Linked DNA regions of Callithrix jacchus. The protein of the gene in region 3 purifies or fractionates together with the protein of the main gene of each other region. This does not show direct contact. Links are inferred from orthologs where the notes say so. Each region holds a gene or a part of one and is shown on either strand. Other genes may lie near its edges.

Region 1 (7,577 bases), on a different chromosome or scaffold from region 3:
GGTGGCTCACGCTTGTAATCCTAGCGCTTTGGGAGACCAAAGCGGTGGATCACCTGAGGTCCAGGAGTTCGGGACCAGCCTGGCCAACATGGTGAAGCTCCGTCTCTACCAAAAATACAAAAATTAGCCGGGCATGGTGGCACATGCCTGTAATCCCAGCTACTTGAGAGACTGAGGCAGGTGAATCTCTTGAACCCAGAGGCGCAGGTTGCGGTGAGCCTAGATCGCGCCATTACACTCCTGCCTGGGTGTCAGAGACTCAGCCTCAAAAAACAAAAAGTGAGGGGGCTTACTATGCACTCGCTGTGCCAGGCATCTTGTCCACATGACCCCGCTTAAATTTCATATCCACACAGGAGGGAGGAACCATTGTTATCCCATTGGACAGATGAGGAAACAGATCTGAGACATGAATTAACCCTCCTGACACACGTGGCTGGGCCGGTAAGTGACGGAGTGGGGAATCAAACCTCCATCTGTTACCTCTCCATCTTATTACACTAAGTGGACGAGTGAAACCCTGCACAGGAGGGCACCAGCTGTGTCGACAGGAACAAGGTCTCTGGAGTCAGCTGGCTTTGGGGTTCGAATTCTGATCCTGCTTCTTACTGGATACGAGGCTTTGGTTTGAGCCGCAACTGCATTTATAAAATGAGCGAGGCACTGCAGTTGAGATGAAGGCTAGGGAAGTGTTAGGGGTAAAGCGCTCCGAGGGGTTGGGGATGGCCTGCTCTCTACGCGCACTGCGGGCCTCTGGCACCCCCTGTTGGCCAAAGGAGGACGCCGCAAACACTGTTTCTGGAGAAAGGTTGCTCTTGGGTGGGGAGTGCTGTCATTGTCACTGGTCCCTCGGCAGATCCACGGGACCCCCTCCCCCTATTCTTCCCTTCCCTACATTCCCCAACAATCCTCCTTTAATGTGGCCAAGAAGAGTGGGAGATGGGAAAATTCGGAACTCATTCGAGATCTTGCAAAAATCAATTGTGAAAGCTGCCTCCATTACGGACCTCACAGGACCAGCAAGGCCACGACAGTTCTACAAATAATCACGGATGGGCATAAACAAAGACTAAGCTACAAAGCCATACATCAAAGTTTTGGGTATAACAAGGAAACCTGGAAGTAATGTGAACCTCCACCAAGGGGATACTGACCAACTGAACAGTGGTATGTCCAAGCAATGCAATACTGCACAGCTGAAAAAACAGTATTGCCGCTGAACAGTTGACACGAAAATATACCCAAACAACAGGAATCAATCTTACAATAATATTTAGCAAAAGAAGCCAGACACAAAAGAAAACATGCTGGAGGATATTTATATAAAGTGTAAGAACAGGCAAAACTAATCTACCAGGGTAGAAGTGGCCAATAGTGGCTAACAGCAGTAAGGGATTTGACTGGAAGAGGGCTCGGGGAGCCTTCAGAGATACTGGAAATGCTCTTTATTTTAATCGTGGAGGTGGTTACGCAAGTCTATCCATATGTAAAAATTCATTGAGATGTACACTTAAGAATATGAACTTTAGGCCAGGCTTGGTGGCTCACACCTGTAATCCCAGCACTTTGGGAGGTGGAGGCAGGCGGATCATGAGGTCAGGAGTTCGAGACCAGCCTGGCCAACATGGTGAAACTCCGTCTCCACTAAAAATACAAAATATTAGCCAGGCATGGTGACACACACCTGTAATCCCAGCTATTCAGGAGGCTGAGACTGGAGAATCGCTTGAACTCAGGAGATGGAGGTTGCAGTGAGCTGAGATCTCGCCATTGGACTCCCACCTGGGTGACAGAGCAGGACTCCTTCTCAAGAGAGAGAGAGAGAAAAAAAAGAATATATACTTTATGTAATACCCCAATAAGACATTAAAAAAAAACTTGAAAATAAAATAAAAGAAAAAACATAATTTAACAGAGGGCATAGTTCTCAAACTATTTTCTCTGTCTCACGACCCCTTTACACGCGTTACTGAGGATCCCAAAGAGCTTTTATTTTTGTGGGTCGTATTTACTAAAGCTGAGAAATGTTTAGAAAACAATACACAATTCCATTAGCTGTTAGAGCAATGATGTCATCACGTCAAGCAGCCTCTGGAAAACTTGACTGTTCACTCTGAGAGAGTGAAAAAGGCAAGTAACATCTTAGTATTATTATGAAAGTAATTCTGACTTCGGGGACTCCTAAACTGAGTAAGTTTAGGAAATCTCAGTGGTCCCCAGTCTACACTTTAAGAACCACTGGCCCAGGGAGAAAATGATAGAAGAAAACACGTGACACGACAACAGTTATTCTCTCTCAGTGCTGGGATTATAATTTATTTGCTTCTTGGTGCTTTTCTGTTAAAAAAAAAAAAAGAAAGAAAGAAAGAAAAAAGAAGTGGAAAATATAATGACCACGTATTGTTTCTGTAAACAAAAAACGAGGCAGCACACTCGCCTCCCTAAGATTGTTGAAAGGCGCAAACAGCAATAGCATATTTAGCTGTATGGAAGAATTAAACTGAGTTCTAACCTGAAAATAAGGGTCCGATTTCCCGTTTGTCAATCCCTGGGCTGTTGAGGTGCAGGGTCTTGCCCTCAAAAACTCCACCGTTCACCTTGGGGAGAAAATATACCCGCATACATAACTATGCTGCAAGGTTTCCAGGGCCCCAAGAAAAGCGGCTGCATCCTATATTTACAATACAATACACAGCACTGTAAACACCGGAGTGCAGCAGAACCAACCATCACAGTTGCAACACGATTAATACCCGGATCCGGTTCAGCCCTCAAATTAGTCCGGGTCCTCCGCAGGACGCATGCGCGCTTAGAGATGGGGCGGGCCTTGAGGGAGACTGACACAGAGCTCGGCTTCTCAACTTTCTAGCTCCGCCCTCATGTCCTGCCTCCTTCTCTGAATGGCTGAAAGGCTGAGGAAGCAAGCTTCCCATTGGCAGCGGGCGGAACCCACATCCGTTTTGCACATCGAGCCGGAGGGCGCGGAGGCAGCCATGGTGCGGTTCAAGCACAGGTAAGCAGTTCCTTCCAGACTCATCCAGTGTCTTGCCGGGACCTCGCGGCCCCGCTAGCGCCCATCTTCCTCTCGCCGGCCGCAGGTATCTGCTCTGCGAATTGGTGTCGGACGACCCCCGCTGCCGCCTGAGCCTCGATGACCGAGTTCTGAGCAGTCTCGTACGGGACACGATCGCCCGGGTGCACGGGACTTTCGGCGCAGCCGCCTGCTCCATCGGCTTCGCGGGTGCGAGGGCGCTGGGGGAACCCGGGAGGATGGCGGGACGTGGAAGGGGCAGGCGCCGGAGGAAGAAAGAAGGGGCACGAGCCACTGCTGGAGTGGCCCAGCCCCCGGGCAACTGCTTTTTGTAAGGTATCTCTTTAAGCGCCTGGCACTCAGAGCTAGACTTGATCCAGACAAGTCCGAAATTAGCAGAGAGCTAACAGGAGGGGTCCGAAGGCAGTAGACTTCGATCTAAATGCCTCTTTTTACCTGTTTGACATCTGTAATTCGTTGTGACTTAATTTGATAGGATAGAGAATTAAATGAGGGAAGCAGTGAATCGTTCCTAGTAAGAGCTGTGTGACTGATTACATTAAAAATCACATGGGGAAAAAAATTGTCAAAACCCTGGGAAAGCCCTTTAATAGTTGGCAGAGTGCAGAACACATGATTGTTTATATATGTAAATATAGGATGAGCTGCGACAAAGAGGGTCCCTTCCACACCACTTATATTAGTTCCCTCTTTTACCTTGAAGATAGGCTTAACTCTCCTAAATCAGGTTAGACTAAGCTGACTGCTACAAGAATTAGAGCCCAATTGCAGCAAAACAGCTTGTTTTTCAGGCAAGAGTTTTGTAGGTTTTTTTCCTAAATTAAAATGGATCGCCTCCTACCTGCTCCTATTTATTGAATTAACTAGTTAGTGAATTAGAAAGCATTTTAAATTCTAAATTCATTCACCAGTTCTGAGTGGTATGCAACACAGTGGGTGTTTTGGCTTTTCTCCTGTTTTTTACTGCTGATATAGCCTACGTGCCACTTGCCTGCAACATACATTGAGCACATAGTAGGCTCTGTTACTCCAAGGTTTTTAATACGCTCCTGCAACTCCAAAGTTTTCCTTTTTTTTTTTTTTTTGGATTCAGTCTCGTTTCACCCAGGCTGGAGTGCAGCGGTGAGATCACAGCTCAGCGCTGCCTCCACCTCCCCAGTTCAAGCAATTCTCGTACCTCAGCCTCCCAAGCAGGGAATTACAGGCGTGCACCCCACCATGTCTGGCTAATTTTTGTATTTAATAGAGACAGGGCTTCATCATGTTGGCCTGGCTGGTCCCGAACTCCTGACTTTAAGTGATCCTCCTTCCTTAGCCTCCCAAAGTGCTGGGATTATAGGCATGACATGAGCCACCATACCTGGCAAAAGTTTTCCAAAACGATTTTTTTTTTTGTTCTAGTTCGATACCTCAATGCCTATACTGGAATAGTGCTACTTCGATGCAGAAAAGAATTCTATCAGCTTGTGTGGTCAGCTCTTCCCTTCATCACGTACTTGGAAAACAAAGGACATCGTTACCCATGCTTTTTCAACACGTTACATGTGGGAGGTAGGAGTGGAATGTTACCACATGGCTACTGATTTTCAATAGGTGACACGTTCAGAGTTGAGTCTAGACTGTTGGGTGGGTCTTCTTGCTGTCCCGCTAACAAGACACTCTTCCCCTACCTCGTTATAAAGTCGAGACCTTTCACAAGCTGCTGACCACAATAACTCATGCCAGGTACAATAAGAACATGTCAGAAGTTCCTCATTCAGTACAACAGAAGACAGCTGTTGATCTTGTTGCAGAACTGCACTAATGAAGGTAAGCAACACTAGTCCAGGGCCCACTGAGCAGTGACAGACCTTGAGCCAAAAAAAATCACTCCCAAAGTCATCTTTCATCTGTTATCTGCCTTCTCCAGGAGAGCGGGAAGCTATCCAGAAGTCTGTGACAAGAAGCTGCTTACTAGAGGAGGAGGAAGAGTCAAGTGAGGAGGCTGCCGAAGCAATGGAGTGAACCTCTGCTCACCATACAGCAGGCTACACTGTGCTCAAGCTTCAAGCCCACTTGTTGAACAGAACATTCTGGGTAGCAACAGCATCTTCTACATTTTCCTAACTGGATAACTGCAACCAGAGGACACGTTACCCACTTGAAATGGAGTACGCAGTTAAACTGAAGTTGGCTTTACCTAGCATTCCCTGGTTAAGTGCTGTAGGTTGTGAACTCTGTATAGACATCTTTGTATCTAATTGCTTGGCTAAGAGTAGGTTTAATAAATGTATCTGGTTTCCTTGGTAACTAGCATACTTATGTTACAAAAAGAGCTTATGGAGTCCATGCTTGGCCAAGTCTCCATTCCCTCTCTATCCCTAGCCTTGGTGGGAAGACTGACTCCCTATGTGGTACTAGTTAAATTTTTTTTTTTTTTTAAACAGTCTTGCTCTATCGCCCAGGATGTAGTGCAGTGGTGCAATCTTGGCTCACTGCAACCTCCGCCTCCTGGGTTCAAGCAGTTCTCCCACCTCAGCCTCCCAAGTAGCTGGGATTACAGACATGTACCACCACACCTGCCTAATTTTTGTATTTTTAGTAGACATGGGGTTTTGCCATATTGGGCAGCTGCTGTTGGAACGCCTGTCCTCAAGTGATCGGCCTGCCTTGGCCTCCCAAAGTGCTGGGATTGACAGTGTGAGCTACTGCACCTGGCCTAGATTTTTAATACTTAGCCTTCTATTTGAGGCTTTGTACCCCCAGCCCCCAAGATGAGCCCTAAGCAAGGCAAGTCATTTGAAATAGAAATTTTAGTTGAGACACAGCAACTAAACTGGCAGAGATCTATAGCCAGTCTCAGCCCAGAACCACAGGCTCTTAGGTACCAGATTCCTTACCAGTACTTAAAATATGCAACTTTTGCAGTTGGGGTGGGAGAGCTGGCCTCACCTGACATCATTATTGCATGGCCATATACTTAAAGAACTTAAGGTAGTTTTTGTAATTCCACTTTTCTTTATTGCCTTACACCGAAGACAAGTGAGACTGCCACACTCACTAGGAAGCAGGAACGGTGAGAGATTGTGATCCAGGTTTGGTCTGCTACCTACGAACATTTCTAGGATCTGTTTTCTCCATAATACAATGGATTACACTGAAAGTACTTATACACATTTAACAGAAATACTGGTGACTGGCTTCAACATGCCTCCCTCTTTTTTTTTGTTTTTTGAGCCAGTCTCACTGTTGCCAGGCTGGAGTGCAGTGGCACAATCTCTGCTTACTGCAACCTCCAACTCCCTGATTCAAGCTGTTCTTCTGCCTCAGCCTCCTGAGTAGCTGGGATTACAGGCACCTGCCACCATGCCCAGCTAATTTTTGTATTTTTTTGTAGAGATCGGGTTTCACCACGTTGGCCAGGATGGTCTCAATCTCCTGACCTCGTGATCCGTCCACCTCAGCCTCCCAAAATGCTGGGATTACAGATGTGAGTTACCACGCCCAGCCACCCGCCTCATCTTGAGGCCAGAACACCCTGATCCACCCAGGAAATTTACTGAAATGATTTCTTTCAAAATAGCAGATTAAAGCTAAGCCCAGCTCTAGAACCATTTAAACCTGACACCAGAAGAGACAGCCCACGATATCCTGGTAGCTATCACATTAACCTATTCAAGAAATAACTCATCTAGTTTACCTGTGATTAACTTAACAAAAAGCTCACATTGCTTGTGCAGGTGATTTATTGCAACCATTTGCCTTCGCAGTCTAATACACCTAGAGGTCACTTTATTAAGCAGCAAGAGAGTTCACATCAAAATTAGCTCAAATCAAGGCATAAGAAAACTGCTCTAGATCAGAGGGAGACAGCAATGCTACGGCTTGAGACGGCCCTGCTCTTTTCCAGCTGTACAGACTCCTGTTCCTAGGACTCAAGCCACTGTCACTGAAAACAAGCTCCATCTTAGGGGTAGCAGGTCTCAGGGCTTCCTTCATGAGTTACAGCTTTCCTTGCCAATGCAAGCCATGCTCAAGAGGCGGCAAAACCCTCCTTTCACACATGCAAGTGCCAAGGACACCTACCCCATTAAGCTGGCACCACAACCTGGCCATGTGTCAGAAGAAAAATAAACTGCAATTCAAACTGGGTGTCCTAAATCCATTTTATTCCCACCCCTCTGCTTTAACAAGGAGAACTAAATAGTAAGGATCCAACTGTTTTTAAAAGACAGAGAGATGCTGAGCCCAGGAAGCCCTGACACGATGCTACGGCAGAGCAGTGCTGTGCCATTCTGGGCTGGACAGCCTAATGCAGGTCAAAGGGACTCAATCTTATTTTGGGTTGAAAAAAATTAATTACACATGGTTCAAAAAGACTACACTCACAACAAACTAAAAACCTTGGCAGGAAGAGATCTCTTGTGAGTGTCAATACTTTATTTTGGTGTAAAGACAGGAAGCTGGAAAATACACTGTATTTAAAATTTCTTGGTTCCCCCTCACATTGTGGAAACCCCCTCCCCTCCAGAGCTAATCTGTTCAA
Region 2 (6,865 bases), on a different chromosome or scaffold from region 3:
TGGGGCTGTCTGTAGGCTTTTGTTTGGAGATCTACAGCCAAATAGCCTCCCACACCCCAGAAGATGCTTAAAGTATGTCATGCTGTCCCCAGTCCTGCTCAGGAGATCAGGTGGAGGAGGGGATGTTGCCTCCCAGGGTTTGCCTCCCGGGTGGAGCTCCGGTTGGGTTTGAGCTTGTGGTCCTTGTTTCTCTAACCTAAGGCTTCATGGAAGCAGATTCCCCACGAGCCATCAAGACCGGAGATAATGGCCCAGAGGAAAGCTGTTGAGGTCCTCGCCCCTGCACCCCTCCCCTTCTCCCTGCTACCTGCATGCTCACCTTCCAGACCAGCCTGCTGCCTCACACAAGAACCTGCGTGACAACCAGCAACCCCTGCCTTATTGAGGGCTTACTAAGTTCAAGCTCACGTAACAGAAAACCTCAAAATCACAGTAGCTTCAATGAGCCTCATGTTTATTTCTCTCCCATGAAAAGAAGTCCAGGTGGACACCACCCTGGCTAGTGTGGTTCTACCAGTGAGGAAACGGAGGTTAGAGCAGTGAAGCTTCTTGGTCTCCCTTATCAGCTCAATTGCTGATCCTAGGATTTGCATGTAGTTCCTAATGATCCCAGGTCACAGTGGTTGGCATCAAGCCAAGCTCTGTGCTGTTTGGACATCGTCATCCCAAGCTCATGTGGTCTAACTTTTTCCCTGTTTCTGACTTTGCCGCAGATACAGTCTTTTTCTCCCTCTCCATGAACTCTGGAAACAGTATATCAGGGACCTGTGCAACGGGCTTAAGCCAGACACGTAAGTTGCATTCCTGAAACTTTTCTCTTTGGGGTGGATCCCAAGACTCTGCTCATTGTAAATGCAGTTTCAGGAGCCAGCCTCGGCATTGCCTGGCTGCAGAAGGCTGAAGACCTAGTTGCATCTTTTGGAACTTTTTATCATGATGTAAACCAAGGGCTTCTGTTTACCTTGCAGTCAGCCACAGATGATTCAGGCCAAGCTGTTAAAGGCAGATCTTCACGGGGCTATTATTTCAGGTAATTTACCTAAGAGCGTGTAGCACGTGGCCATCCAGAGGTTCACACTGTCACTCTGTGGAGACCCAGGGCTTGTGTCCTGTTGGACACGCTCCTTACTGTGTGGATTCCCTGAAATGGCCCCCTGCAACCATCATCCCTGCATTCAGGGTGGGAGATGCTTCTCACTGGCTGTCTTAGCCAGTCTGGCCACTTGCTGGTCACACCCTAAGTGGTCTCTGTGTACCTTTTCCACACAGGGACCCCTGTTAGTACCGTAAAGGGCACAGTGGCTGTTGACACTCACCCATGGCCTGGAATCTTGAATATAGAATCCCTTTCATCCAGTGCTATGGTTTCAAATGTCAGCTACGCCTGACAGCCCCCAAGGTGACCTCTCCAGCGTAGGCCTGTCCCCTGAATTCCAGGCTCAGGTATCCAGCTTCCCACTTCACACAGCCACCTGGATGTTCAGGGGGCATCTCAGACTCTACAGAGCCAAAGCTCCTCCCGATTCCCCTCACAGCAACCTCTCCGGCTCTTTTCCATCTCAGTTTTAATTACTCAGTTATTTACCCTGGTTGTTCAGGCCAAAAACCTAAACAGTGTCTATGTTTCTTCTTCCCTGATCCCCTCCTCTGATCCTGTGGAACATCCTACTACCTAAACTCAGCCACTGTCATCTCCCTGGATTACCTCAGACACAGGTCCTCCCGGCCCCAGGCAGCAGAGTGCCGGTTATATAGAGATCAGAGTGCGTTTCTTCCCTGCTTCAGGTCTTCCTGCAGCGTCCCATCATATGGGAGTAAACCTGCCTCCAGATCCCTGGGGCAGCGGCTTCCCACCCCACCTTCCTCCTGCCCTGCCCCAGAGCTTTGCCTCTGCTCTTTCCCTCTGCCCAGGAGTTCTGTGTGTGCAAAGACCAGCTTCTCATTGTTCAGCCCTGCTCCAGTGCTGCTCCCCTGAGGGTCTACTTTGGCAAAACATGGCCCTCCGCACTCATTGCCCTGTCCCTACTCACTGCTGTCAGAAAGTAGAATGGTGTGGTTCACCGCTCGTCACCCTGCCTTGCTAGAACCTGGGCTCCATGAGAGCGGGACTGCCTCTTTCCGGCTGTGTCCCTGGCATCTCCCAAGGACAGAACAGGCACACTGCAGCTGCTCAGTGACTGTCTGTCGGCTATACCGAGTCTCAGGTCAATACAAGGGAGGGGCTGCTACTTGTGATGGTGGCTTGTCTCTCAGTGCTGGCTGCTGGGCAGCTCTGCAGCAGGACTCACGTTCATCAGAGCAGCCAGCCCATGGGCCTTGATGGTGCTCATTGTTCTGGAGTCAAAGGCATATGTGTCACCTTTGACTCCAGAATCCTGCCCGAGACCCCTGCAGCCACACACCTCATAGGAACAGTCCAGAGGCTGCAAAGCCCCAGCGGAAGCCTGGGTTCTCATAGGCTCAGGCAGTGCCCACAGTTGAGCCCCCATGCACTGGGTGCTCTCTTCCTTCATCTGCTAGCTAAGAGGGTGGGACCAGTACCCCCGACCCCTGAAGCGTGCTGCTTGTCTATGGTTCCCCCAGCACCACAGAGGCCTGAGCCTGGAACTGCCCTTTTCCTTTGCAGTGACAAAATCCAAATGCCCCTCTTACGTGGGTATTACAGGAATCCTTCTACAAGAAACAAAACACATTTTCAAAATTATCACCAAAGAAGATTGCCTGAAAGGTATGTAGGTGTTTCCCCAATCCTGTGGGCTGGGGCTTCCAGCTCCTGCGTTAGCCCTTTCCTCGAGGCTCCAAGATTACAGATACTTACTGACCCTGCATTAAAGCCTGCAGAGACCATCCCCTGCGCCTGTGGCTCCCCCAGGAGATGTGTGTCAGTGCAGCCAGCAGCCCCAGCCAGAAATGGCTAAGGGGAAGGAGGAACTGCTTGGCTGTGCCTCAGGGACCTGGGTCTGTTTGGGTCCCAGGAAGGGGCCTCCACCTGCCCTAAGGCCGCTGCTCCCACAGAGATGTAGCCACAGAGGCAGCAGGGTAGAAACAGGAACAGCGCCTGTCCCTGCAGTTCCAAGCTGTGTCCTTGGCGATGACTTTGTGTTCCATCGATGACATTGTGTTCCATCAGTGGCCAGCATTGCTCCAGCAGACACTTCGGGTCTTCCAGGATTCCTACACCCTGCCTTGCCCACAAATCCAGAGATATCAAACCACAGTTAGAGGGTTGTGTTCCTTTAATTTTTTTTTTTTTTTTTAAACAGTCTCTCTCTTTTACCCAGGCTGGAGTGCAGTGGTGCAATCTCAACTCACCGCAGCCTCCGCCTCCAGGATTCAAGGGATTCTCCTGCCTCAGCCTCCTGAGTAGCGGGGATTACAGGCATGCATCACCACAGCCAGCTAATTTTTGTATTTTTAGTAGAGACGGGTTCACCATGCTGGACAAGCTGGTCTCAAACTCCTGACCTTAAGTGATCCGCCTGTTTCAGCCTCCTAAAATGCTGAGATTACAGGCATGAGCCACTGCACCCGGCCTTGTTCCTTTACTTTTTGAGTTTGGTTTTTCTTGTTGCTCCCCTTATTTTCCTACCTATTCTTCTACCTCACATCGTAGACCTCAGAAAGTGTTGTAACAGTTTCCTCACAGAGCATAAGGCCAGGAGCCCATCTGAAAGTTATGTGGGGAAACCAGTTCTGGCAGGTGTTCTGGGTCTCTCTGGTTCTGGGAATTTGTTGTATAGCTTTTGACCCTGAAGATTAGGTGCTGAGTTATATTTAGCATGTGACTAAATTGACCTTACAGCAGAATAACCACATGTAACCCCAGTGCCGCTCCCCTCGTGGGTTTCCCGTTTCCTATTAGCTTATTTTTTTCATTCAATGTATTATGAATAATATTCTACCTAAAAGTAAAATATTAGTAAATAAATAAATGAATGAATAATAAAACTTTGCTGCCAGGGTTTTTTCCTCATCTTTTTTCTCCTGCTTATTTTGTTTTTATTTTTTTCAGTTATCCCCAAGTTAAACTCTGTGTTCACTGTGGAAATCGATGGCTTTATTTCCTACATTTATGGGAGCAAATTCCAGCTTCGGTCAAGTGAACGGTCTGCAAAGAAGTTCAAAGCCAAGGGAACGATTGACCTGTGAGCGCTTTGCCATCCAAGGCGGTTGTTGATGACAGCCGAAAACTGAAACTCCAGTGCCCACCTTTCAGTGAAGAGATGGCTAAGCCAGTTCCTGTCATGGACCACCTCCACCAGGGAAGCTCCGGGTTGAGGATGTTGAGCAATATGGGAGGCGTGCTGAGTGAAGAAGTCAGGGGACAGGAATTTCTCCTAGGGGATCTTAATTGTGTATGGCTCCCACAGAGAGGAACAGACTGATGGGAAACACAGCAGGGTTAACACTGGTTGACTTCATTTAAAGATGCTTTTTCCTGTTTTCTGAGTGCTCTATGATGAATCTGTTGTGTCTGTGATCATACATTATACATGTGGACATAAACAGGCATCAAATGAAGGAGCTATTGCTGCAGTCCAGCCAGGTTGAAACGGAAGCGGGGGTCCCCAAAGATCCATTGCATGGCAGGTGTCTACAGAGGCGCGCCTTTGGGTGGAACTCTTTGACCTACCTAAGGGTTACTTTGCTATTTCAGGAAGGTTGAAGAGGATTGAAGGGTGGGTTGCTAAGGAACTTAGGGCTTATTCACTTCAGGAATCACAGCTGGGGTGGCTGCCAGGAGCATAGCACCACGTGCGGCTATGCCTCAACAGCACAGCTAAAGCGGACCCCTCCTGAGCTGCCAGCGTGAGCTGTGGAGGACTGAAAGGCGGTCACCCAGCATTGCCTCCTGAGGTCAGACCTGCGAAAGCCAAGCCGGCAGCATTGATGTCCTTTGATATCTTAGTTCCATTTTGCTGCTGAAAGACTTGGCTTTTCAGTCTGAACCTGGCCCTCTGTGGCGATGTGTCCGTAAGGCCAGTGGGTCAGGCCCTTCCGGGCAGGGCCAGAGGAAATGCAGGCCCAGGGCTGCAGTGAGCGTGGGGCGGGGGACCAGCCTAGCAGAGGGGTCAGAAACATGGCTCCGAAGGACGACTGCCCCTGCCCTTTGAAGAATAAGTGTCCGCCGATCAACAGGGCAAGGCCAGGAGCCCTCATGGTGAAAGGCAGGCTACAGTCTGTTCTCTGCAGGAGAAGCGGCGGTGCTGAGGCTTTACATTTCTGGTACCTGCCACCGAGACCACACCAGAGAAAAACACCACAGTGGAGAAGGGAAGTGGGAACGCTCACTGCTGTGTTCCGGGAGAGCAGAAAGGCCTAGCTCTGTGCCCCTGCCCCTCCCCAACGCTCACAGTGCACCCAGAGTCTCACAGGGACCAACTCGGTGCCTCAGTCCTGCTTCCATCTGTGCACCAGTTCTGAGGTGGCTCGAGTGCTCTCCCCCAGGCAGCACGCAGTCACCGCTGCCAGTGATGCAAACACGCACAGGCCAGGGACATGGAACTCAAGCCCCTGCCACCTCGGACCCAGCCCAACGAACGCCTGGTGATGTGGCCATCCTCATTCTGCCACAGGAAGACAGACTTCAAGGGACTCCTTGCCCAAGGCCTCGCTGACTCAGGGTAGAACTGAGATTTGGACCCAAGAGTCAGGCTCCAGCACTGCTTTCAACTACAGGGTGGCTGCAGGATGAGATGGATGCAGTTCTAAAGCGCAGGATGTGCTGCCTTTATTACCTGCTTTCCCACGAGCAATCCCGGTCTTGAGTGGGAAGTGACATCTATTCCCCCAGCCATCTGAAAGTGCTGCGTCTGTAACAGCCTAGGTGCTGTAGCTTCCTAGCCATCCCGCTCTTACCCACCCCCCAGCAATGTAAAAGGCATCCACTGTTGTGTAAATACACAGTCGCTTTCCAGAAAAGTTGTTGGTCCCACTTGCCATGTGAAATCTGTTTTTCATTTGGCGCAGACTCAAGTTTCTGTGTGAGTGGCTGTTAAATTTGTAGACTTCCTCTTCCCCAAGGACATGTGGGGAGGGTGCTCGCCGGCCATGAAGTTGCTGCTATGCCTGCCTGTTTCTAGGATATGCTGTCGCCCCCATGGCATACCCAGGGGCCGTGTCATCTCCCAGGTAGAGGAGGGAAAGGGGAGGGCTCAGTTGGGCAGGACATGGTTCCTGATGAGGAACAGCTACAGAGGGCATGACCTGAGGCCCAGGGGCAGGGGCCAGGCTGCCATGTCTCCGCAGCCTGTGGCACAGCTTGTCATGGAGGGCAATGGGCTTTGTGGCCTGATCTCCCATATCCACTGTCCAAGGAGCAGGACCCCAGCAGAGCTGAAGCCTTGGCCATGTGGTCCCACAGGAGATAGAGCCACATTAGCCTCATGTAAGCCTCCATGCATCAGAAAAGGTGCCAAAGAGGAGAGAGAGAGTGCTTAGCAACTCGAGACAGGATTCAGACGCTGCAGGACTGAAGACATCAGCCTAGCAACCATTGTTGAAAGAGTGGGGCCTAGGGGCCCTTTACAGCTCCCCAGCGCCCAGCTGCCACACAGGCTGCAGAGGATAGGCCAGAGCCTTGGGAGGAAAGGACGAGGCCCTTGGAGGAGAAAGGGCAGCATGGGCTGTGGCCAATGTGTCAGCACTAATCTCCATAACAAGATGCCACACACTGGAGTGCAGCCTTTTCTCACAGCTCTGGAGGCTGGAAGCCAAAGATCAAGGTGCTGGCAGGTTAGTTTCTGGGGAGGCCTCTCCCCCTGGCTTGCAGATGGCCACCACCTTGTCCTCACACGGCCTTCCCTCCCTGTGTGCAAGGAGAGTGATCCCTGGGGTATGATCCTTGTAGAAGGATGCCACTCCT
Region 3 (6,865 bases):
CTGGAAAAGATGCCTGCGCCTGCTGCCACATATGAAAGAGTAGTTTACAAAAACCCTTCCGAGCACCACTACATGAAAGTCTGCCTGTAAGTTTAGTTTCCTAAGTTCTATTTTAGATTACTTTCTAACATGAATCCCAACAGAATGAAATTTAATATGATGCCTTTTTTTTTCATGTTTTTTTAGAGAATTTCAAGATGGTGGAGTTGGACTGAATGCTGCGCAGTTCAAACAGCTTCTTATTTCTGCCCTGAAGGACCTGTTTGGGGAGGTATGGAATCACTTGGTAGATTGAACATGCCAAAGATCTTTGTAAGAAATTCAGAAAGAATGCTTTTCAAACATTAAAAAAATTTTTTTAATTGTACAACTCTGCATTTTTAAATTTTTTATTCGTTTATTGTAATAAACACATTTTTATTTCTTTTTTTCCTCTTTATCCTCTCTACCCCCATCCTTCCATCCTCTCTACCCCCATCCCAGTCTTTCTATCCTCATGAGATCTACTTTTTTAGCTCTCACATGAGTGAGAACATGTCTTTCTGTATATGACTTACTTAACAAAATGGCCTCCAGTTCTATTCATATTGCTGCAAATGACAGGATTTCATTCTTTTTTATGGAATATTATGGAATAATATTCCATTGTAATATATATCACATTTTCTTTATCCATTTATCCATTGATTGGCACTTAAGTTGATTCTGTATTTTGGCTATTGTGAATAGTACCGCAGTAAATATGAGAGTGCACATGTCTTTTTGATATTAATTTCCTTTCATTTGGATGTATGCTCAATAGTAGACTTGCAGGATTAAATGGTAATCTATTTTTAGTTCTGTTTTCTTTTTTGTGTTCAAGATGAAGTCTTGCTGTGATGCCCAGGCTGGAGTACAGTGGCATAGTCATGGTTCACTGAAGCCTCAGCCACCCAAGCTCAAGTGATTCTCCCACTTCAGCATCCCAAATAGCTGGGACCACAGGCATGTGCCACCACGCCCAGCCAATTTTTTTACTTGTAGAGATGAGGTCTGAGTATGTTTCCCAGGCTCCTAGCCTCAAGCAGACCTCCTACCTTGTCCTCCCAAAGTGTTGGGATTACAGACGTGAGCCATCAAACGACCTATTTTTAGTTTTTTGGGAAACCTCCATACTTTTCTCTATAGTGGTTGTACATTTACATTCCAACCAGTAGTATATGAGGGTTTCCCTAGATATTATTTTAAAACTGTGTTTGAAGTTGCAGAAGTAGACTTTGAGAAGTGATGAATTTTTATAGGTTTATTCTATTATGCCTTCTATTTGACAAGGAACATGTTAGACAGATGTTTGTTCTAGCACAGTGCTACTCAAAGTGTGGCCTAGACTGGCAACCTGCAAACTCTCTGACCATCTTGAAGAGATGAGGAATTTGCAGCAGAACCAGTGCACTATCACTTTTAATGAGAAAGTCTCTTTATGGGCCGGGCATTGTGGCACATGCCTGTAATCTCAGTTCTTTGGGAGGCTGAGGTAGGCAAATCACTTAAGGTCAGGAGTTTTAGACCAGCCTGGCCAACATAGTGAAACTCCCTTCTCTACTAAAAACATAAAAATTAGCTGGGTGTGGTGGTGCACACCTGTAGTTCCAGCTATTTGGAAGGCTGAGGCATGAGAATTGCTTGAACTCTGAAGGTGGAGGTTGCAGTGAGCTGAGATGGCATCACTGCATTCCAGCCTGGGCATCAGAGCAAGACTCCATCTCAAAAAAAAAACAAAAAGTTAAAAAAAAAAGACTTCTTATGAAAAAAAGATGAACTGAACTAAACACTGTGATTAATTATACTATTGTTTTACATTCTGATTCAACTCCCTATTTTGTCGTAGGCCCACACTTTAAGCAGATTTGTCTTAGCATTCCTTTGAGAACAGAAGTAGGGTTTTGGAAGTTGAGAGAAGACAGAAGATGCTCAGGAAATTGTTTTCTGATACCTCTGTACATCACATCAAATGTTTGTCCGTCAAATCAAAATATGCTAAGTACCTCATCAAAATTTAAAACTTACATTTTGCAAAAGACTCTTAGGAGGATGAAAATGACAGGCACAGTTGCTCATAGCTATAATCCCACCACTTTGAGAGCAGGTGGATCACTTGAGCCCAGGAGTTCCAGACCAGCCTGGATATCTGGTGAAACCTCATCTGTACAAAAAATTTAAAAAATTGAGCTGGGCATGGTGGTGCACCTATAGTCCCAGCTAGTCAGGAGGCTGGGGTGGGACGATTGCTTGAGCCCAGAAGCTCAAGGTTGCAGTGAGCCGTGATCACGACACTGTGGGGGAAAAAAAGGATGAAAAGATGAATTACAGACTGGGGGAAAATAATTGTAAACCACATATCCAACAAAGAACTAGTGTCTAGAATATATAAATGACTTTTGGCCTGGTGCAGTGGCTCAGGCCTGTAATCCCAACACTTTGGGAGGCTGAGGCAGGAAGATTGTTTGAGGCCAGGAGTTTGAGTCTGTGGTGAACTATGATTGCACCACTGCACTGCAGCCTGGATAACAGCAAGACCCTGTCTCAAAAATAATAATAATAATAACAATAGGCGGGGTGTGGTGGCTAATGCCTGTAATCCCAACACTTTGGGAGAACGAAGTGGGTGGATCACCTAAGGTTGGGAGTTTGAGACCGGCCTGGCCAACATGGCAAAACCCTATCTTTTTTTCTCTTTTTTTGGGTGCCAAGTTCATTTCAGTAGCATAGAGCAAAACCCTGTCTCTACTAAAACTATAAAAATTAGCTGAGTATGGTGGCACACGCCTGTAATCCCAGCTACTCAGGAGGCTGAGGCAGGAGAAGTGCATGAACCTGTGAGATGGGGAATGCAGTGAGCCAAGATTGCACCACTGCACTCCAGCCAGGGTGACAGAGTGAGACTTTTTCAAAAAATAATAATAATAAAGACGTATCAAAACTCAATAGTAAGAAACCAAATAATCCAATTAGAAAATGGGCAGAAAAATTAACAGACATTTCCCTAAGAGGATGTATGGTTGGCAAGCACATGGAAAGATGTTTAGCTATTAGGGAACTTCACATTAATGACACAATGTGATACCACTATGTACCAAGCAGAATCACTGAAAAAATAACAACACTAAATGCTAGCAAGAATGCGAAGAAACTGGATCACTCATATGTTATAATGGGTATGTAAAATGGTGCAGCCATTCTGGAACATAGCTTGGCGATATCTTTAGCAGACTAAACATGCATCTGCCATAGAACTCAGCATTAGCACTCCTGGGCGTCTATTCCAGAGGAATAAAAACTTAGGTTCACACAAAGCCTGTACATTGTACATGAATATTCATAGTAGCTTTAATAATAATGAAACTGAAAATACCCCACATATCCTTTAATGGGTGAATAAACTGTGGTGCATTCCTGCTATGGAATATACTCAGCAATGAAAAGGAATGACCTATTGATAGACACAACATGGATGAATTTCCAGAGAATTATGCTGAATGAAAAAAAGCCTGTGTAATGTAACAAAACATTACATACTAGGTGTTTCCATTTATAGAAGACTTGAAATAAAGTAATTCTAGTTTTGCTACTGTACTGTAGTTACACAAGGCATTGACACTGTGGGAGGCTGGATGAAGAGTGCATGGAACTTCCCTGTACATTTCTTTGCAATCTCTTGTGAATCTGTAATTTTTTAAAATACAAAATAAAAAAAAAAAAAAATCCCTGTGTGTACTTGTATGTGAGATAGAAAACTTTGTTCTTGGGATTTATATAGCTGCGAAGAAACAGACATGGCCTCTGCCGCATGGACTGATGGTCTTGGTTCTTGTAGTAGGAAAACATGTTAGGCAATTAGTGACAAGAATGAAGAGAATTATGAAAGAGGAAGTATGGTGTTCCTGTACAAGAAAGAACATAGCAAGCTGACTTTGTCTCATCTTAAAGATCAGTCAAGGAACAATTTAAATGAAGGCTCAAAGGATGAGGGACTGATTATCAGCCATATGAAGAGGTGTAGGCAGAACTTTCTAGGCAGGGGGAGCTATAATCAAATAGGCAATTCAAAGCACCAGCACCATTAAATAAAATACAGCATTTGTGGAGAATAGTCAAAACTTGACAAGCAAGAATAATGGTGCTAACAGCCTGCTAATAGTATTATTCCATATCCAGGTTGATGCCGCCTTGCCTTTGGACATCCTACGCTATGAAGAGAAGACCTTGTCAGCCATCTTGAGAATATGTAGCAGGTATGACAGAGAGTGGGCATTTCTAGTATAACAAGTCAGAGAGACTGATGAGAATTAGAGCAAAAATTCTTTCCTCTGAGAATGAGAAGAATATTGTGAACTCTGAGCAGCTTTTGGGGATTTTAACTGGGATGAATATGAACATTCCATCCACCAGAAACTTGTACCCTAGAGAGAGCAAAACATGCTTTGGTTACAGCTCTAGTTTCCCATTGATGGTTATAGTTGCAAAGCCAGAAGTGAATATTTCAGAAACCTTAGTTGAGGTTCATTTTGTTTTCAGCCTATGATACGCTATGTATTTTCCTGGTCTTTTCTGCAGTGGTCTTGTCAAATTGTGGAGCTCTTTGGCCTTGTTAGGATCCTATAAAGGCAAAAAATGTGCTTTCCGGGTGATTCAGGTAAAGACTGTTCCCTCACATATTCCAAATGAGACTGATGATGGCTCAATCGCTTCTTAATATTCATAGCTCATTTTTGTGCTTGCATGAATGTAATATGGTTAACATGATCTAAGTAGGGGAACATAAAGGGCTTGTTTTCAAAAAATGTGAGACACAGCACTTCAGATTTTAAAGTCTGTGGGAGGTTGTTCTGGGATAAAAGTTGCTACTCTGTGGTTAAGTCTTATTTTTTATTTAACACTTAATGCTTTGGGTGTTATATATTGTATGCTCCTTTTAAGCTATGACTACTTGTTATTGAAGGCTTCCTCTTGGGACGCTCTTTAAAATGCTCCTGCATTCACTTTGTTTATCCTGTAAAACTGGACATGTTTCCACATTGCCCTGTGCTTCAGTGCAGTTTCTTCCAATGCCTTAACCTTTTTCTTTCTTTTGTAGGTTTCTCCATTTCTCCTGGCATTATCTGGTAATAGTAGGGAACTAGTATTGGATTGAAGGAATAGTCTTCTATTTTGGAAACATTCCTCCACTCTCAGATTTATTTTTTGGTGCCTGCATGTTTGAAGACTGAAGCAGGCTAAAAGCTCTTGGTGAAATTTGAGGGTGCTGAAGATGTTCCCACTAATTTCCAGCCATCACCTTTGGTGGGGTGGGCTTCGGAGGAGAGTCTGCCTGAACCTCCCGGTGCTGGCCCTGCAGCACTTTCAGCATATGCACATCAGAGTTGGAGACCGTGCTGAACTTAGGAGGGCCTTCACACAGACGGATGTGGCTACCTTCTCAGAGTTAACAGGGGATGCCAATCCTTTGCATCTAAATGAAGACTTTGCAAAACACACCAAGTTTGGAAATACAATTGTACATGGAGTTTTGATCAATGGACTTATCTCAGCTCTCCTGGGAACTAAAATGCCAGGGCCAGGCTGTGTATTTCTTTCCCAAGAAATTAGCTTTCCAGCCCCTTTATATATTGGAGAAGTTGTTTTAGCTTCTGCAGAAGTGAAAAAGCTAAAACGGTTCATTGCTATTATTGCAGTGTCGTGTTCAGTAGTAGAAAGTAAAAAGACTGTCATGGAAGGCTGGGTTAAAGTTATGGTTCCAGAAGCTCCTAAATCCTGAAATACGTGTTTAAAGATGCAACCTCAAACACCAATGCTGTTATTAAAGAGCCTTTGGGGAAATGGATTGCTGCTCTTCACCAAAGAATGGTTGGTAGGCCCAGAAGCCCATCCTAATTAGGGTAAGGGAGCAGATAGCTGTTCAAATGCCCACTTTCCAGTTTGGCCTTATGCAAGAGTGTATGTGAAATTCTCTGCCCTTTTTTTTTTTTTTAATTCAAGAAATAGGCTAGGCATGGTGACTCATAACTGTAATCCTAGCACTTTGGGAGGCTGAGGCAGATGGATCACTTAAGGTCAGCAGTCCAAGACCAGCCTGGCCAACATGGTGAGACCACATCCCAACAAAAAGAAAATGTAAAAATTAGTAGTGCTTGGTGGCTTGGGCCTGTAGTCCCAGCTACTGGGGAGGCTGAGGTGGGAGAATAGCTTGGGCCCAAGAGCTGGAGGTTACAATGAGAAGCTGAGATCACACCTCTGCACTGCAGCCTGGGTGACAGAGCAAGACCCTGTCTCAAAAAAAAAAAAAGTATTGGGAAGGTTATTTATGTAAACACTCTACTTTGAAGTCAGGCATGGTGGTGCATGGTTATAATCCCAGCACTTTGGGAGGCCATGGCAGGCGAATCACTTGAGGTCAGAAGCTCAAGACCAGCTTGGTCAACATGTGAAACCCCATTTCCACTAAAAATACAAAAATTAGCTGGGCATGGTGGCGGGCACCTATAATCCCAGCTACTTGGGAGGCTGAGGCAGGAAAATCGTTTGAACCTGGGAGGTTGCAGTGAGCTGAAATCATACCACTGCACTTCAGCCTGGGTGACAGAGCAAAACTCCATCTCAAAAAGATTCTACTTTTAGGAATTCAGACCTATATAGATTTGCATTTGGATAATAGAACCCTTCCTGTATCTGTGTAGAAGCAGCTTCTCACTGAATTTCAGCTGTGTATCACTTAATTACTGAAGACAAAAATAGAAGTTGGGTCATATTTGAACACCTACCTTTTATCAGTGAATATTCTTAGACCCTGCTTTTCAGTAGTTACTGAGTCTGTCATAATTTGTTATTT
Region 4 (7,654 bases), on a different chromosome or scaffold from region 3:
AAAATATTATGTTACTATTTTGGGTATACATATAGCTCAGTTATATTTGCAGTTTCATGTGCTTTTTTGTTTTTTTTTTTAAACTATTTCTGGCCTTTCCTTCTTACACTTTTCCTTCCATACCCTGTGCTCTAGATTCTATGATCTAATATCTGTTTGTCAGTTAAGACTGCTTTCAGCTCTAGAGACCAGAAAGTCTAGCAGACAAGAGTATGAACAAGCAAGGGAAGGAGATGAGGCTGAAGAGGCAGGCACGGGCCAGTGTGCAAGCTTTTATTCCATGGCAGTGAGAAGCCAATGGTAGGGTCTAAAAGGGGATGCAGGTGTATATCATGTTTTTAAGAGATCACTCTGGATGCCGAGTGGGATATGGACTGTGGGAGGGCAAGAGAGGCAGGAGGAAGAAGCCCTGGAGGCAGACTTGGGCAGCAGGCCAGCGAGTGATGAAGGTGATTGAAACTGACTATAGAAATGCAGACAGCAAGAAGAGGCTGCAATCAGGGTGCCCGCTGCAGGCCGAGCCACAGGACTTGCTGTGGGACTGCATGGCGGGTGAGAAGGGAAAAAGAGAGTCAGGGGTGAGTCCTTGTGCTGGAGTCATCTGGGTGCTCCACTCAGGGAAGAGGCTCCACACGTAGGGGTTATCAGCAGGCAGACAGGAGGACTTAGAGCTGAGAGACTCTGTGGGGTCACTCTGAGAAGAGTGCAGCTTGTATCTCTAATACATTTTTCAGCTGATATTTATATAGATAAAATTTATTTTGCATCTTCAAAATAGGCAACATTTTAAACTAAATGGTTGGCTGGAAAAGCTTCATGGTGCTTCCAAATACAAATGGTAGACCATCAGGATGTCAGTCACTGTGCAGAGCTCTGCTGGAAAAGCTTCATGGTGCTTCCAAATACAAATGGTAGACCATCAGGATGTCAGTCACTGTGCAGAGCTCTGCAATGCGGACAAAGGAGAGGTACATGCGTGATGTTTCAGTCTTGGGGCGCCGCTGCCGCACACAAAGCCACTGTCTGGTGACAGCCACATTAAATGTGAGGTGACCAAGAAGCAATGCTTTAAGCCTTTCACATCTTAACATGTTATTCGTAGCTGTTATTCATAAAACATCTAACTGCCATATTGTGATCTTGGAAATTGGTAAGGTTTTTCTGATTAACTTGCCATGCCTTATAATTCTGTATAAAATAATGAGAAACAGGTTCTTATTAGGTTTTCTTCTTGGAAAAAAATGTGACATTTCAGTCATAGATTACTTTTTTATTTGTTTGTTTGAGACAGAGTCTCACTCTGTCTCCCAGCCTGGAAGTACAGTGGCACATCTCGGCTCACTGCAATCTCTACCTCCCGGCGCACTGCAATCTCTGCCTCCCAGGTTCAAGCGACTCTTCTGCCTCAGCTTCCTGAGTAGCTGAGATTACAGGCGTGCACCACCATGTCTGGCTAATTTTTGTATTTTTAGTAGAGATGGGGTTTCTCCAGGTTGGTCAGGCTGGTCTTGAACTCCTGACCTCAGGTGATCCCCATGCCTTGGTCTCCCAAAGTGCTGAGACTACAGGCATGAGCCATGGGCACTTGGCCAGATTACTGTTTTTTGTTTTTGTTTTTTTGTGTTTGAGATGGAGTCTCACTCTTGTTGCCAGGTAGAGTGCAGCGGCACTATCTCGGCTCATTCCAACCGCTGCCTCCCGGGTTCAAGCAATTCTCCTGCCTCAGCCTCCTGAGCTGGGACTATAGGCGTACACCACCAAGCCCAGCTAATTTTCGTATTTTTAGTAGAGACAGGGTTTCACCATGTTGGCCAGGATGATCTCGATCTCTTGACCTCGTGATCCGCCTGCCTCAGCCTCCCAAAGTGCTGGGATCACAGACATGATCCACCGAGCCCGGCCAGATTACTGATGTTTTTAATGGCAGACGACTTTCCAGCCTTGTCTTTCTTTTATTTTTATTTTTTGAGATGGTGTCTCATTATATTGCCCAGGCTGGTCTTGAAATCCTGAGCTCAAGTGATTCTCCCATCTCAGTCTCCCCAAGTTCTGGGATTACAGGCATGAGCCACTGTGACCAGCTTAGTTTTAAATTCTTATTTACCTTGTAAACAACTTAATTCCATTTCTCCACCTCACACACAAAAACTGATGCCCCAGGAAGATGTATCATCAATATTCTGCTGTATTGTATCCTGCCCGTGCAGAAATGGGGCTGTGCCTTCTCTAGTTTAAGAAGCATGTAGTAACATACTTGATTTTGCCTTTAATCAGTAACGTATGGCATACTGGGAGCCGCAGTCTCTTGTCTGTGGCAGTAAAACTAAATGGAAAAATGACTTAGGAGAATTATCACCATAACCCCCAGAAGCAACACATTATTAAAAGTGGGTCTGAAGGGCTATTAAAAAGGAAATCAACACTAGTTTCAAAGAAGGCTAAATTGTGCTTTACCTTCCCATACAAACTTCCTTAAAGTTTTGGAAAGGATCAATGCAAATTTTAGTCCTGCTGGCCTGTGTTACGGATGGCCAAGAGGTCCCCAATGGGTAACAGAGTCCTGTGAACCAAACAGTGTAAGGAGTCAGAAAAGCAGCTGGGTGTGACCCCCCCCAAAGCAGCTTAGGCGGTTACTTAAGTGTGCAGCTACATTTCTTGACCATATAATAAAGGAACTGGGCCTTTCCATGTGATGTTTTCCTTTTATAACGGTGGCAGGAAGCGATCCCTCTGAGAGGCCTGACCGAGGTAAGCGCCAGCGCCAGGCCAGGGTCCCAGGGTCGCTTCAAGGCGGGGCCCATAGAAAGGGTTTAGCAGCTCAGAAGGATGGCGGGGACGGAGGAAAGGTGGCGTTGAAAAGGCAAGAGTCAGGTTCCCAGCGATGGATTTTTTCATTTGAGGCAGTGAATTTGCAGTTTCAGACATCCACCAGGGAGCTGCTGCATGGGTTTCTTTTTTTTTTTTTTTTTTTTTTGAGACGGAGTTTCGCTCTTGTTACCCAGGCTGGAGTGCAATGGCGCGATCTCGGCTCACCGCAACCTCCGCCTCCTGGGTTCAAGCAATTCTCCTGCCTCAGCCTCCTGAGTAGCTGGGATTACAGGCACGCGCCACCATGCCCAGCTAATTTTTTGCATTTTTAGTAGAGACGGGGTTTCACCAAATTGACCAGGATGGTCTCGATCTCTTGACCTCGTGATCCACCCGCCTCGGCCTCCCAAAGTGCTGGGATTACAGGCTTGAGCCACCGCGCCCGGCCTGCTGCGTGGGTTTCTAAGAAGTAGAAGAACTGTTTAGAAATTCGGCGCCGACAGCCCCATTCCACCGCTACCAGCGGCGCACAATAACAGGTAGGCGGCCGGAGGGAAAGGGCGGAGCTGGGCGGGGCGGGGCCGGGAAGGGGCGGGGCATGCCCCTACCCGCGGAGGCCGGGAGGACCAGGAACCTGGGAGAGCATGGCCACGCTGCGCCGGCTTCGGGAGGTTCCGCGGCACTTACTGGTTTGCGAGAAATCCAACTTCGGCAACCACAAGTCGCGCCACCGGCATATCATTCAGACGCACTATTATAACTACAGGGTGAGTCCGATTGTCCTCAGCTTTTCCGGCTGTGCTTGGTCCCGGCGTGCGAGAGAGATTTTGGGAGAGTGCTAGGCTTCGCGGGGCGGAGAGTGCGTGAAGGGGGCGGGGCCCTGCCAGGCATGCTGGGAGTTGTAGTTTCTTAACCTCTCCAGGCCAGTGACTTGAAGGGCTGCAGGACTACAACACCGAGGATGCGCAGGGCGTGGGGGCAGTACCCAGTCCTGTAGGGAGCTGTTGGCAGGAGTGTTCCGGCTGCTCACTTGTGTCTTCGCGCGAAACAGGGAGTGAGTCCAGGGAGGCATTGGAGGTTCCAGGCCGAGACTAGGTTGTTAGAGCGGTGTGACGACTGCGACGTGCAGCTGCGGGCAGGCACGTGCACCTCGCTTTCTCCCCATATCAGGGCGGGTCTCGCGCCTCCTCCCCACCACCGCCTCCCTCCCTGACTTCAATCCCTCTCCCACCTGTTTACCTGTAGATCTTTCCAGAGCATCCTGCCTAGGCCCGGCCCAGGAAGCGACTTGCTTTTCTAAATTGGTTGTGGAAACTAATTTGATACCCGAAAAACTTAAAGAAACCAACCTTACAATGGGGGATTAAACATTTTACACTTTAAATCGTTCGGCTTAATAACTCAGGCTTGACTGAGCAGTGTCTCAGAGATATTGAGAGATGACCTGATCTGTCAGAACAGGCTGGTGTTTGAGTCTTGGGACAGTGATGACATTTACAATGTGGCAACATTTGAAGCCTGTCCTGTTTTTAACACTTGTTTTGGGTGGCAATCTCATCACAGCTGTCAGGGATGTATACCTTAACTCTCCTGTTGCATTTTTCTGTCTCGAAAGTGGAAACACACAGGAGCACCATTGCTTGCACATAGAGTCTTAGTAATTGGATGTTCATAAATTCCTTATCTCCCCAACAGATAGTTCCTTTCATTCCAGGGTAGCACCAGGGTAAACAAATCAAGGGATATTCAATTATACTGTATTTCCTTGAAAGTAAAATAGTGCAAAGAACAGGACATAAAATATACAGCATTGCTAATTTGCAAAAGATAAAATGCAAGCAAGAGTTTTCCATTTAAAGTTTTCTGTTCAATCCCTTTCCTGTACTGTACATTTGAATGCAGAAATTAAAAACTTGAGTAGTCAGAATTCTCTTTGACTGAGATAGATAAGTTAGCGTAAGAGTTTTGTTGCCTGTATTTATATGTTCCAGTGAAACTGGTGGAGAAAGAAGAACTTTCATGATCTTATTTCATTCCTAAAAACCTGGGTGTTCATCTTCATAGAAGTAAGACATTGTTTGTATTACACATTCCGATAGGTTTCATTTCTCATTCCTGAATGTGGGATACTATCAGAGGAACTGAAAAACCTGGTCATGCAAACTGGACCCTATTACTTTGTGAAGAATTTACCTCTTCATGAATTAATTACACACGAATTCATCAGTACCTTTATAAAGAAAGGTAAGAAAAACCTGAAATGTCTATGAACAAGGCAAGATGAGGAAGTATAGGGAGACCACATCACAAAGCTAGGGCTGTTCAAGTTTTGAACAGGGCCTGTGGGATGGATAGTCTTTGTGGTCAACTGCACACATGCGCTCCCCTCCACCATTCTTATCCTGTTCTTTCTTATGCCCTCTTTAGTGGTGGTTTCTGATTGCAATTGCCCACAAGTGTTGGATGGGGATGTAACACGAGGGTATCCATCCCCTTAAAATGAAGATTAATGGGGAGAAAGACTTGCAATGTGTGTTTGATGCACTGCTGTTGATGTGGCAGCAAAGACACTATGCTGTCAGCAGTCCCACAGCAGCTGTCTCAGGGGGTGGGTCTCCAGATGCAGCCACAGCTCCTGCTCACAGAGCCAAGGTAGTGGCTGGGGTCCTGTGTCTTCTGCTTAGATTTTGTAGCCATAATCCCCCTCTGCTCACCCCATTTCTGCCCATAATCTGCTGGGTTGGACTGGTTTGTTTCAGTTGTTTCCTGGGAGCCGTTTTTTTGAAACTACTTTAGAGGATCTTTGGGGATTCCACCCATGCTACATAAGGTGACAACCTGTACAGTGGCCACAGGCTGACCTTGTGGTGGCCCCCACCTATGTCCTCTCCAGAGAAGATATGAAGAAGTCTAGTTACCAGTAGCTCCTCTCATTTTGACATTGCTGGGGCTACTTATGAGCTGGGCATCTTGTCTGGTCTCATCAGCGTTATTCCTTTCATCTATTTTGATACCACTTTGTGAATAACACGGACACTGGCTGTAGCGGGCACTGTTAAATATCTTACCGAATTTAAGCCTTGCAACAACTTTTGAAGCAGGCCTATGATCGTCACTTAACAGGTGAGGAAACTGAGGCTTGGAGAGGTTGAGTAGCTTTTGAATCTTAACCTGGAACTCTGCCTCTAAGATGTGTATGTTTATCTAGAATTCTACTTTGTATCCCTCTCCCCGCATCCCCAAGGGTCATGCTCCATTTTGAGTCAATTTTCTGCTTGATGATAGTAAACTTACACAAATAGGCCCTTGGTCGGGGAGTGGACCAGCAGGAGCTTGGTCTTTGTGTGCTTCAGCTTACCTTTAGCAGGTGTTGGGTTTATTGAGTGAGCTGGAGCAGCGGTAGAAACTGACCTTTAATTACCTGGAATACTCGTTATCTTGTGAAAACAATCCACTAACATCTTGCAGGTGTAATTTCTTCTTTTAAATTTTTCCTCTGGATTTTTTTACAGGTTCTTGCTGTGCACTAACATACAATACAAATATCGATGAAGATAATACTGTTGCCCTGCTACCAAATGGTAACACTTATTTTTTCATCTTTAATTATTAAAAAAATGCATACTGTGGAAAAAAAAATAGTTGGCCAGTCATGATGGTTCATTCCTGTAATACCTGCAGTTTAGGAGACCGAGGCAGGCTGATTACCTGAGGTCAGGAGTTCGAGACCAGCCTGGCCAACATGATGAAACCCCATCTCTACTAAAAAGACAAAAAGTTAGCTGGGCGTGGTGGTAATCCTGTAATCCCAGCTACTAGGGAGGCTGAGGCAGGAGAATCGCTTGAACCTGGGAAGCAGAGGTTGCAGTGAGCCAAAATTGCACCATTGCACTCCAGCCTGGACAACAAGAACAAAATTCCGTCTCTCTCACTCACACACACACACACACACACAAATAGTCAAATCACACAGATCTATAGAGAATAAAGCAAAGGTCTGTGATTTTATTTTCTTCCCTCCAAATTCACTCCCCTTCTTAGAAGGACCCTTTGTTAACAGTTTGGTGTTGATTCTTCCAGACACTTTGAGTTTATAAACACACATACAAGTTTTTTTCCTTTTGCAATGGAGTCTTGCTCTGTCACCAGGCTGGAGTGCAGTGGTGCGATCTTGGCTCACTGCAGCCTCCACCCCCCGGGTTCAAGCAATTCTCCTGCTTCAGCCTCCTGAGTAGCTGGGATCACAGGAGCTACTAATGTACCACCACGCTCAGCTAATTTTTCGTATAGAGAGGGTTTCACCATGTTGGCCAGGATGGTCTCGATCTCTTGACCTCATGATCTACCCACCTTGGCCTCCCAAGGTGCTGAGATTACAGACCTGTGCCACCACACCCAGCCAAGGTCTTTTTTTTAACCTAAATTGTATCATGCTACATTGTGTCTTAATGTGCTCCCCCCCCACACAAGCTTCATATGATACACATCATTCCCTATTAGTCGATATAGTTCCAACTTCCTGTTTTTAATGGCTTAAGATATTCAAGCCGGGCACGGTGGCTCACACCTGTAATCCCAGCACTTTGGGAGGCTGAAGTGGGTGGATCATTTGAGGTCAGGAGTTCGAGACCAGCCTGGCCAACATGGTGAAACTCTGCCTCTACTAAAAGTACAAAAATTAGCCAGATGTGGTGACAGGTGCCTGTAGTCTCAGCTCCTCGGGAGGCTGAGGGAGGAGAAAAGCTTGAACCCAGGAGGTGGAGGTTGCAGTGAGCTGAGATCATGCTATATGCATTCACTCTGTCACATGGGTGACAGAGTGAGACTGTCTAAAAAAAAAAAAAAA

What was found.
Region 1: the proteins of RPP14 (region 3) and POP5 purify together in Homo sapiens (co-immunoprecipitation; 3 studies listed by BioGRID and IntAct, with this or other methods). This does not show direct contact. The link is inferred for Callithrix jacchus from reciprocal best matches to the Homo sapiens genes RPP14 and POP5.
Region 2: the proteins of RPP14 (region 3) and POP4 purify together in Homo sapiens (affinity purification with mass spectrometry; 3 studies listed by BioGRID and IntAct, counting the BioPlex papers as one, with this or other methods). This does not show direct contact. The link is inferred for Callithrix jacchus from reciprocal best matches to the Homo sapiens genes RPP14 and POP4.
Region 4: the proteins of RPP14 (region 3) and RPP40 purify together in Homo sapiens (co-immunoprecipitation; 3 studies listed by BioGRID and IntAct, with this or other methods). This does not show direct contact. The link is inferred for Callithrix jacchus from reciprocal best matches to the Homo sapiens genes RPP14 and RPP40.

Annotation. Positions count from the first base shown.
Region 1 is NC_133510.1:123,709,790-123,717,366, reverse strand, and holds POP5 (ribonuclease P/MRP protein subunit POP5), read left to right. Parts: upstream 1-2,957; 5' UTR 2,958-2,993; coding exon 2,994-3,013; intron 3,014-3,098; coding exon 3,099-3,241; intron 3,242-4,453; coding exon 4,454-4,603; intron 4,604-4,734; coding exon of another isoform or gene 4,735-4,777; coding exon 4,778-4,861; intron 4,862-4,961; coding exon 4,962-5,056; 3' UTR 5,057-5,338; downstream 5,339-7,577. UniProt on the Homo sapiens protein: Component of ribonuclease P, a protein complex that generates mature tRNA molecules by cleaving their 5'-ends. Also a component of the MRP ribonuclease complex, which cleaves pre-rRNA sequences.
Region 2 is NC_133523.1:26,834,660-26,841,524, forward strand, and holds the end of POP4 (ribonuclease P protein subunit p29), read left to right. Parts: intron 1-713; coding exon 714-791; intron 792-968; coding exon 969-1,030; intron 1,031-2,626; coding exon 2,627-2,728; intron 2,729-4,012; coding exon 4,013-4,149; 3' UTR 4,150-4,442; downstream 4,443-6,865. UniProt on the Homo sapiens protein: Component of ribonuclease P, a ribonucleoprotein complex that generates mature tRNA molecules by cleaving their 5'-ends.
Region 3 is NC_133516.1:40,105,695-40,112,559, forward strand, and holds part of RPP14 (ribonuclease P protein subunit p14), read left to right. Parts: 5' UTR 1-9; coding exon 10-86; intron 87-186; coding exon 187-271; intron 272-4,194; coding exon 4,195-4,271; intron 4,272-4,593; coding exon 4,594-4,672; intron 4,673-5,111; exon of another isoform or gene 5,112-5,113; coding exon 5,114-5,170; 3' UTR 5,171-5,287; coding exon of another isoform or gene 5,288-5,794; 3' UTR 5,795-6,865. Other genes in the region: HTD2 (hydroxyacyl-thioester dehydratase type 2, mitochondrial), read left to right, coding at 5,288-5,794. UniProt on the Homo sapiens protein: Component of ribonuclease P, a ribonucleoprotein complex that generates mature tRNA molecules by cleaving their 5'-ends.
Region 4 is NC_133505.1:25,473,127-25,480,780, forward strand, and holds the start of RPP40 (ribonuclease P protein subunit p40), read left to right. Parts: upstream 1-3,418; 5' UTR 3,419-3,452; coding exon 3,453-3,575; intron 3,576-3,733; exon of another isoform or gene 3,734-3,947; intron 3,948-4,907; coding exon 4,908-5,052; intron 5,053-6,320; coding exon 6,321-6,389; intron 6,390-7,654. UniProt on the Homo sapiens protein: Component of ribonuclease P, a ribonucleoprotein complex that generates mature tRNA molecules by cleaving their 5'-ends. Also a component of the MRP ribonuclease complex, which cleaves pre-rRNA sequences.